2 linked regions of the Mus musculus genome follow. The protein of the gene in region 2 interacts with the protein of the main gene of each other region in a pairwise test. Links are inferred from orthologs where the notes say so. Each region holds a gene or a part of one and is shown on either strand. Other genes may lie near its edges.

Region 1 (4,385 bases), on a different chromosome or scaffold from region 2:
GTACTTGAAGTAAGTGACCCTTACCCCATAGGGTAAGCTCTGCTTGCTCTCTCCCTTTCTCCTCCAGTCATGGCAGAGTACGGAACTCTCCTTCAGGACCTGACCAACAACATCACCCTTGAAGATCTGGAACAGCTCAAGTCAGCCTGCAAGGAGGACATCCCCAGTGAGAAGAGTGAGGAGATCACCACAGGCAGTGCCTGGTTTAGCTTCCTGGAGAGCCACAACAAGCTGGACAAAGGTTGTGGAGGGGGCGCTGCTCATTCAGTAAACTGCAAGGAACACAAGGGGAAACCCCATGACAAGGCGGGGGTAAAGTGATCGGCCCTCGACAGGAGTTGTCAGACAGGTTCTCCTACGGGCCTGAGCAGTACAATGTGTGGTAGAACTTAAGACCACTGTTCTAATGTTCTCTTACCTATGTCTAGAGACTGCTGCCTTTTAGGGGTGGGAGGGAGACACTGGATTAGAGCAATGCCATGCAGCTGGGGCTCGAAGGGTCAAATGGCATTTAAGATGGCCCCAAGTGCTGGCAGGATAGCAGGTAAAAGGATTTGCCATGTATGCCTAACAAGAGGGCCCAGGGCTCACCTTGGAAGGAGAGAGCCCCCCCCCCCAAGTTGCTGATAATAGACTGCCTCCAAAAGCAAATGGTATGTCTAAGGTAGAACCCAGAGAACATGTTAAGCAAAAGAACACAGTCTACGTTAGCTGGGCTAAAAAATATTGGGTCTAAGGCAGCCGAGTTAGTTACAGGTGTGTGAAACTGAAGTCACCCCAGAGTCCTTCCTATGAACGAGTCTGGCTGGGGTCTGACAGCAGGGAGGAAAGCCGAAGGACGACCTCTTACAGTTAAGACTATTGCAACAATCAGAGGACAGGAGCCAGATGAAATAATGGCAATCTTAAGCCAGCCTGATGGTGTCAATGCTTTCTGTCAGTTATGTAACTTTCCTTACTGGCTCAGAATATCTCTTTGATTGACCATAAATCTCACCTTCCTGTTCTGTGTAGTGTCTGGGATTTCTCCCCATACTCATCTGGAAGGAAAGTGGAAAGACAGGGTGGGTGTGGGTAGTTTTGAAGGCAGCCTTTCTATTGTACCATTCCCCAGGATGGACTTGGTATCTAGCCCAACGTCTGTATTTTCCATTTATACCCTAGAAGATCTAGGCTAAATACCTGTCCCGCTAAGGAGTAATGCTTTGAATTGTATTTGGCTGCCTCCAACTTTCTTTTCCTGGCTTGGTAGCCACTTCTTTCACTGCTGTCCCTTCCCATAACCAATGTCAGCAACTTAGTTGTGGTTCAAGAATACCAGTTTTGACAGGGCAGAAGTTGACCTCTATAGCCTAGCTCTGACACAAGCTGCCTTCCTCCAGACAACCTCTCCTACATTGAGCACATCTTTGAGATATCTCGCCGTCCTGACCTCCTCACTATGGTGGTTGACTACAGAACCCGTGTGCTGAAGATCTCTGAGGAGGAGGAGCTGGACACCAAGCTAACCCGTATTCCCAGTGCCAAGAAGTACAAAGGTAAGAAGCCATACCTTTGGCATAGCTCTAGGTCTCCCTTCCCTGTCTGACTATATATATATGCATGCATGTATGTGTGTGTATATATGTATATACTATATATTGTATAGTATATGTATACTACATATACTATTTATTTATTTTATTTATTTATTTTGGTTTTTTGAGACAGGGTTTCTCTGTATAGCCCTGGCTGTCCTGGAACTCACCTTGTAGACCAGGCTGGCCTCGAACTCAGAAATCTGCTTGCCTCTGCCTCCCAAGTGCTGGGATTAAAGGCGTGCGCCACCACCGCCCAGCCTGACTGTATTTTTAAGAGTAGAAAGTCATTCTGAATTTGGGGAGAGGTTGATGCTTAATGGGCCTGCCTGCCTGCCTGGCGACCTCCATCCCTGGGAACACCCCCCTTTTTTTTTTCAGACATTATCCGGCAGCCCTCTGAAGAAGAAATCATCAAATTGGCTCCCCCACCAAAGAAGGCCTGAACAAGGGGGAGGAAGAGGAGGAAGGTTGGATCTTCATCAGACCACTCCCTTCCCCATCCTCAATGGGAGGGGCTAGGGCAACCCCCTGCTCCGTACCCATTTACTAACTTGGTCCTAACCCTTACTATGCGCGTGTGTGTGCGTGTGCGCACGCTCTGGCTGTCTGTCTGTCTAGCTCATCTAGTTCCTCCTCCTCATGAGGGGATTGGAGGCAAGGGAGGGGGGGCTTAAATCCCCCCACTATAGGGGGAGGTGGACGCTTTTTCTATGTAAACAGAAATTGGCACATTCCTCCTCCTTCTCCCCTTTCCTCCACTCTTCCCCCACATCTTTATGGAAGCAGAAAGGACCTGCATTTTCCTACACTGAGGAGCTATGGTGAAGATGAGGTATGGGAGAGATGGTTGTATCTAAAGAAAACCAGTGGGGAAGGAAGGTAAAGAGGCCACTCAACCTCCACCTGGTAAGGGACAAAGAAAAGCCAGGACTCAGTGTTTGTATCTCTATGCTGGACTGGTTAGAAGCCAGCTTCCTGCTGTTCCCTTAGGCTGAGGTCCTGAGTGCCAATGGGCCCTCCTTATGCCCTTGTTATGGGCCTGGGATGCGGATGAGCCAGAAATCTTAATGAGAAGACCACTCGATCCTTTCCTGGTCCCAAAGATCAAACCCCAATGGAGAAGCCAGCATTTACTGTCCCCCAACCTTCTGCTCTGGAGAGACGATGCCGGGACCATGCACTACTGAGCCTGAGCTAGGGACGCAGGCAGAGACAGGCCCACTTTCTGCTCCTCAGTTTCTAAATACAGACTGTTGGATAAACTGACCTGGAGCCTAGGGAGATTGGGGGATGAGATCCTTAGGTTTTAACCCCAACCTGCCCACAACCTACAGAGTATTGTAGGCAACCTTTCCACTCTCCAGTTTAGAATTCTCCAAGCAAGTAGTTAATTACAGTGTTTCCTTTGCACTGACCACCACCCTGATTCAATCCAGGAAGGGACTGGTAACCTTTCTCATTTGGGTTTGTGGATGCCACACAGTCAAGTCACTAGAGTGCAGTGAGTGAACCCAGCCTCCTCCCTGTCCCAAGATGCCCTTCCCCATCTTGACCGTGCTAACTGTGTGTACATATATATTCTACATATATGTATATTAAACCCGCACTGCCATGTCTGCCCTTTTTTGTGGTTTTTAGCATTAACTTATTGTCTAGGCCAGAGCGGGAGTGGGAGGGGATGCCACAGAAAGGAAGTGGCAGAGCCAAATTGTTACAGAGTCCAAACAGAAAAGAACACATTTCAACTAACCACAACAAATGTTACATTTACATGTGAGCTAAGAGACAATTTAGAGAAAGATGAAGGTAGGTGCTTTTAGGATGTGGGAGCAAAACTTCACAGGGAGGGGAGGAATGGCTGTCAGAAGAGGGTTCTTGAAGCCAGACTGACTAGAGCACCCTCAGTTCCTAGCTGAGCCCAGATTGCCCATCTCCTCTGGCCACTGCTGCAGACACCTGCCTTAACTCTCACACCTCGAAGACTCCAGCTTTGCCTTAAAGGTCCTTCCTAAATCTCCCTAGTCTTGCCTGGCATCTCCTTTAAGACAAGAAATCCTTGTACAACTGGGTGGGAGAAAGGAACTCTGGGTAACATCCTTCCTTCTGGGGTGTTCCATGGGAGCAGGAGTGAGACGGCGCTTCCCTTATGGAAGAGGGAGGAGACAGGGTGCTTCTCAGAAGCTTCTCTGTAAGGCAAAAACCAAACTTTAAACAGACTAACCTGCCCTAATATACTCACCCCCTCGTGCTGCTGTGAGGTTGCTCCTAGCCTGTGCTCCTCTGTCTGCAGCGTGCACAGCCTTGTTCTAACCCTGGAATAAAGGTGACTGACTCTACCGTACCTGACTGATTCTAGAATCTCTGTGGGTCACTAAGTTTGGGAAGCTCTGAATGACTGGGAGGGGGTGTGTAGCCATGTTTTCCCTATCACCACTCACTGCAGTATAGAACAAGGGACTAGAAAACAACCCCAAAGAAAGTGCCCCATCTCTTAAGCACCACTGACATTAACAGACCTATTTCCCTTACAACATTCTTCTATGGCTCAAGCACTAGAAACAGGGATATCCCAGACTTCACTTTTTAAGTATGAGCAAAATCAAGCATGTATCTGGAAGGAATACACTGTACACTATGTCCTCTATCACAATAAATGGACCACATACCACACAAAGCAGCAGTCAGGGGAAAAGCTTTACTGAGAAAAAAATACAACAAATTCCAGAGTGCATGGTTTTAAGCCCACCTCATCATCCCTCTAGCAGTGAGGACATAAGACTACTACTCAGTTACCACACACTCCCT
Region 2 (5,068 bases):
TGCTCTGAATGGTATCCAAAGCCAAGTGGACACCAAGTAAGTGCTGATTAAATAAACAGTTTATCATCTTATTTTGTCATTATAATGCTTATTCAATAAATCTAAAACCTGATAAAATTTCGCAATAGAAAAGAAGATTGTGGTTCTATGGAACAGTTACATAACATATGCTGCTGTTAAATAACCCGCCGCTAGAACATCTGGGATCCAGATTTGATACTGCACTGTGAGTTCAGGGAAAACACAGCATCAGAACACATTCCCACTGAACCATATGATGCAATCTGTACAGTTGCCTTTCTAATCAGAAAAGTCCCAGGCTTACAGGAAGCTGAGGCTATGCTTCTCATCTGAACCCTGAAACATCTTTTAACCACACCCTAGCAAATACATTCTATTTGTGCTTTTGGGACTTAAAGGATTGTAAGCATAAAACCCAGCCTCCCATATGCCAGCCTTTCTCCTGTATACAATGACTCAATCTAACTACAGGTTTAAAGACCCATATCTCATGTGTTCGGTCCATTGATCTTTAGCATATGGCTGGGGAGGAGAAGAAATTGCTAAACCCAGAAACTTGTTTGATCAGAAAGGTCATTGGGTACTGGAAACATGTCTTTAGCTGGGCTCACTCATGGTGTTGCCTGGTACTATTGTACGGCTAAAGGGGACAACATTGAGATTGTTTGTGTTTGTTTGTTTGTTTGTTTGTTACATATCCAGAGGGGGGAACACTAAGAATAAACCCCTTCTCTGTTTGTACCTCTAGACAGCTAAACTCGCAAAGTGTTTCCACTACAACTCCCAATCAGCTTACCAACTGACCCTCACATAAGCTTCCTCAACCCATGGAGGTAAAACTTACCAGGCGCCCCCTATCTGGCTATGCCTTCTATGTGTGCTCTTTAAAAGTGCATTTCTTGCTGACAATGTAGCTCAGTTAGTCACGTGCACCCCTAACATGTACAACACAACACCAGGTATGCTGGTGTGTGCATGGGGTCCCAACACTTAGGTCAGGGTGGGGGCAGGATGTTCAAAAGCATAAGTCACCTTCTGCAACCCAGCGAGTTAAAGAGAGGCTCGCCTGAGCTATATAGAAAAAAAAGTGTCTTTCTTGAGCTGGGGATGATAATGCAGCCCTACACTTCCAGCATTTGGGAGGTAGAAGCAAAGGCAGAAAGATGGATAATTCATAGGAATCGCCACCAGCAGAGTGAGTTCCATCCAGGGTCATACAAGAGACTATATAAAATTTCTTTAAAGCTCTGTGAAAAGAATCCAACCTTACTCAGTGAGAAAACTGAAGCTTGCAATGCAGTCTTTATTAATAAGTGTTACTAAACCTTGTAAGGAAGTCGAGAAGTCCTTTGGGAATGGACTGGGGGGAGATGGTAGCACACTGGCAGAGCTGTGCGATCAAACATCTATTTTTAAATTGTAAAGATGGCAAAGTTACGTGTCTATTTTGATAAAATAAAAATAAAACTTAAAATTAAAAAAAAATGAAAAAGGGTAGAAATGGGACTGAAGCGATGGCCCAGCCATTAGGAGCACATCCTGCCTTTCCTTAGCATCTGAGTCCTGTTCACAGCGCCCAGTTTGAGCAACAGCCTCTTCTGGCCTTCTTAGGCACCATATGCACATAACCCACACCCAGGCCAGCATATTCACATCATTAAAAATAAAATAAATCCTTAAAACATGTTGAAATTAGAGGTAGGTGAATTGTCAGTGTAATGCTTTTCTCATACAGAGTTGCATAAGAGCATTCATACTACATACTAAGACCATACACAAATGCATTCTCGGTAAAGGTCTGATGAGCAGGCTGTCCATTAACTAGGCAGTACTCATCTAGTTATCAGTAAATCAATCAACCTAAATGAGCCTGTAGAGAACTTAACACCAGTGTGTGTAAAACGCTGATGCCAGAAACAACACAGCAAGGACACCATCTCCTCAAAACCTTCTCCACTCGCACTATTTATTTGAAAAGCTAATTGTACTGGCTCATAAAAATTCAGATACCCGCTTACATAACCATTTAAAAGGTCCCCACACACCATTTAAAGGCTGCTTACAAATTCAAGCTAAACAGTTGAGTACAAACTCACTCGTGGGCCACAAAGCACGTACTATGGAAAGAGATTCTTGCATAAGTAGGCATAACAGACTAGTTCAAACTAGGCTCTCTGCACCCGTCAGGCTTCCTTGACAGCACCTCTGACAGGTCAGGACTTCTGAATATCTCTCTGAATTTCCTGGGTAGCTAGTCTCCAGAGGCCCTGGGAAGGTCATAAGGAGTTGGCTAAGCTGAAATTGGTGGGCCTGGCTGTCTAAGAGCGCTCTTCGTCCTGTGGAAAGATCTAGAAATGGTCGAATGCAGAAGCTCCTGTGGTCCTTAAGATTATGTTTTGAGCTTCATGAAAGAAGGCCGCTGGCAGTGATCTGAGATTGGGAGGCGGGGGTGAGGAAGGCAAACGTAGGCGTGGCAGGTAGCCCTAGGGTATGGGGGAAAGGGCTGGCCAAATTCTAAGTCTTGACCTGTACTTAAGAGATGGAAGCAGGAGGGCCAGGAATGTCATCCTTGGCTACATAGCCTTTGAGTGCAGCCTGAGCTACAGAAGACTGTTTCAAACAAACCGTCCCATGGCTTAGAGACCTCCTAAGGTCCCTCCCTGACCCGGAACAGTCAGTCCCAAACATCTTGGGTCGGAGCTAAAATAGCAACTGCCTAACACAGGCCTTTCTTTTAATTGCTACCCCTGTCCCTCCTCCACTTCAGCACAGCACATCTTTGGCCCCGAGGCAGCAGCTGTGTGGCTCGGCGCCCGGCACTGTGCTTCAGCTGGACTCTAAGCCACTGGAATGCAGCACTTCCTGGTTGGTCCGGGATGTTGGTGCTGTCGCCATCCCGGTCAGCCCACAGTGCTAAGGAGCTCAGGGAGCGCGGGACGATCTAGCGGGAGCGAACAAATCTACTGAGCCCGGGACCCGAGGAGGTGGGGTGGGGTGCATCCTACAGAGGACGCCCCGGATCTGCAGGGACTTGAGAGTGGAGTGGGGCTAGGACATCAGCAGCTGACCCGGCTCTGCTCTCAGGGTAGCGGTCCTCGCCTGCGGTCAGTGTGCGCGCGGCTCTTGCCAGCGCAGACACTACAGGAATTAAGACTATGGGAGGGACTCCAGGGTTCCCAAGGGAACTTCAGGGACAGGGCTGGTGAGAGGGGCAAGAGAGGCGGGATGAAGCACGAGGACCGCGAACGTCCTGCGGGCTCAGAAGTCCCGCAAGCCTGGCCCCGGCAGCTCCTACCTGCGGGCCTGGGGCGCGGGCACACACTCTGCGGCGGCGGCGACTTCGGGGGTCCCCGCGCAGCTGGCGCAGCTGGGGCCGCGGAAGAAGGGCGGGCGCTGGGACTCGCCGCCCGGAACTCGGCCGGTCTGCAGGGTGGGGCGGGGCGGCGCCGGCCAGCCTCGGTGACAGCCTCTGCCGCCGGCCTTCCTCCATGCCTCGGTTCTAACACTTTCTTCTGTCCAAGTGTCCTAACTCAGCCACAGTTATCCGCGGGGCGCAGGGGCGCACGCAGGCGTTGTTCTTACCAAGTTCACTTCCCTGGTCTCTGAGCCCAATCCTTGTCCAAGACTGGCCCGCAAGTTACAAGCCAACAGCGAGCCAACTGGTGAAATATTCCTGCCCTGAAGTGACTTGCTTAATTAGGGGCTTTGTAGAGGTCAACTGTGGCCTTCCTGCAAATCCCACGGGTAGGTCTTGGTAGGTGTTATTGCCTGTTTATAAGGAAACTGAGGCTGGCAAGTAAAGAACCAGCCTGACCCTAAGCTTGCTGGAGCCAGCAATCTCTTCAGTCCCCAAAACTGCCCGTGCTTGTCCCCCCAGACCCCCCTTCTCTCTCTCTCTCTCTCTCTCTCTCTCTCTCTCTCTCTCTCTCTCTCTCTGTGTGTGTGTGTGTGTGTGTGTGTGTGTGTGTGTGTTGTGGCGAGTGTTCGGTTGGTTAGTTTGAAGTTAGGTCTCTGCTGTATACCTGGTTGGCCATGAAGAACAGGTAGAACTCAAACTACATGATCCTCCTGTCTCAGTCACACATCGCCCTCACACTTCTCACTCCCACTTGCCATCAGTACTGGGTCTAATTCAGAAATGTTAGAGAGAAAAGTAAAAATAAAATGGGAGGAGAACGAGAAAGTCCCATTACCCCGATGGAACTGTCCGCACAGTAACTTTGCCGTTTTAATACACTTAAGAGAGTCGTCATCAAGGGAAATCCAGTGGCTGGGTGGTGTGAATAGCAATCCTTTGGGAATATAATTTTGAACACAAGTCAGTTCCAAAACTGGTTGCACAACACTGCTTCCAGCCAAAACCCAAAGATGCAACAGTTAGTTTCCTGTACATCAAATTGCTGATGCTGTTGGTCTTTTGAAATTGTTTATTGAGTATTATACAGTGAGACAGACCCAGTTACATAATGTCTTACCATGCCCATGGCACTGCATGAAATGAAAAATATAATATTTCTGTCCAGACAGAGGAGGAGTGAAATTATAGCGCGGGGCTCAGTTTTCAAGTAACCTGGAGCTGCCCAGCCCTCCCTGACTGCATTCTTCTCTTTTGAGCACATCTTTCCTAATGATTGCAGAGTCGGGCAGCCGTCACTCTTTCCTTGTTGACAGAAATAATTGATGCCTTTTGAATCCTATGATTCTGACAGATTTTTGCAATTATATGCACAGCCTTCTGAGCAAACAGGGTCTTGCCTAAGAGGGGTTTGGCAAGACTATATAACAAGGAAGTAACTGAAAAGCTGCATATGTCTCCTTCCTCCCTTCCTCCAGTTTATTAATTTCAGATGATTTGATAAGTGTGTGCCTAGGAGTAACCGCACTCTTACAAGCTTGTCTTTAGATGGTGTGAGACATTTGGTTGAGAAGCACCAGGCTGTACAAATTACATCCTGATTTCTTAAAAGTCGTCATTGAAACTTTTGGCATCAACACATAACAATAGGTCTTTCTGTTACTATTGTAATTATAAATAAGACAACTATCA

The links.
Region 1: the proteins of Pld1 (region 2) and Pea15a interact in a two-hybrid assay, tested with the Homo sapiens proteins (2 studies listed by BioGRID). The link is inferred for Mus musculus from reciprocal best matches to the Homo sapiens genes PLD1 and PEA15.

Annotation. Positions count from the first base shown.
Region 1 is NC_000067.6:172,196,264-172,200,648, reverse strand, and holds the end of Pea15a (astrocytic phosphoprotein PEA-15), read left to right. Parts: intron 1-67; 5' UTR 68-69; coding exon 70-241; intron 242-1,382; coding exon 1,383-1,538; intron 1,539-1,958; coding exon 1,959-2,023; 3' UTR 2,024-3,921; downstream 3,922-4,385. UniProt on the Homo sapiens protein: Blocks Ras-mediated inhibition of integrin activation and modulates the ERK MAP kinase cascade. Inhibits RPS6KA3 activities by retaining it in the cytoplasm. Inhibits both TNFRSF6- and TNFRSF1A-mediated CASP8 activity and apoptosis.
Region 2 is NC_000069.6:27,936,999-27,942,066, reverse strand, and holds the start of Pld1 (phospholipase D1), read right to left. Parts: upstream 3,388-5,068; 5' UTR 3,317-3,387; intron 1-3,316. UniProt on the Homo sapiens protein: Function as phospholipase selective for phosphatidylcholine. Implicated as a critical step in numerous cellular pathways, including signal transduction, membrane trafficking, and the regulation of mitosis.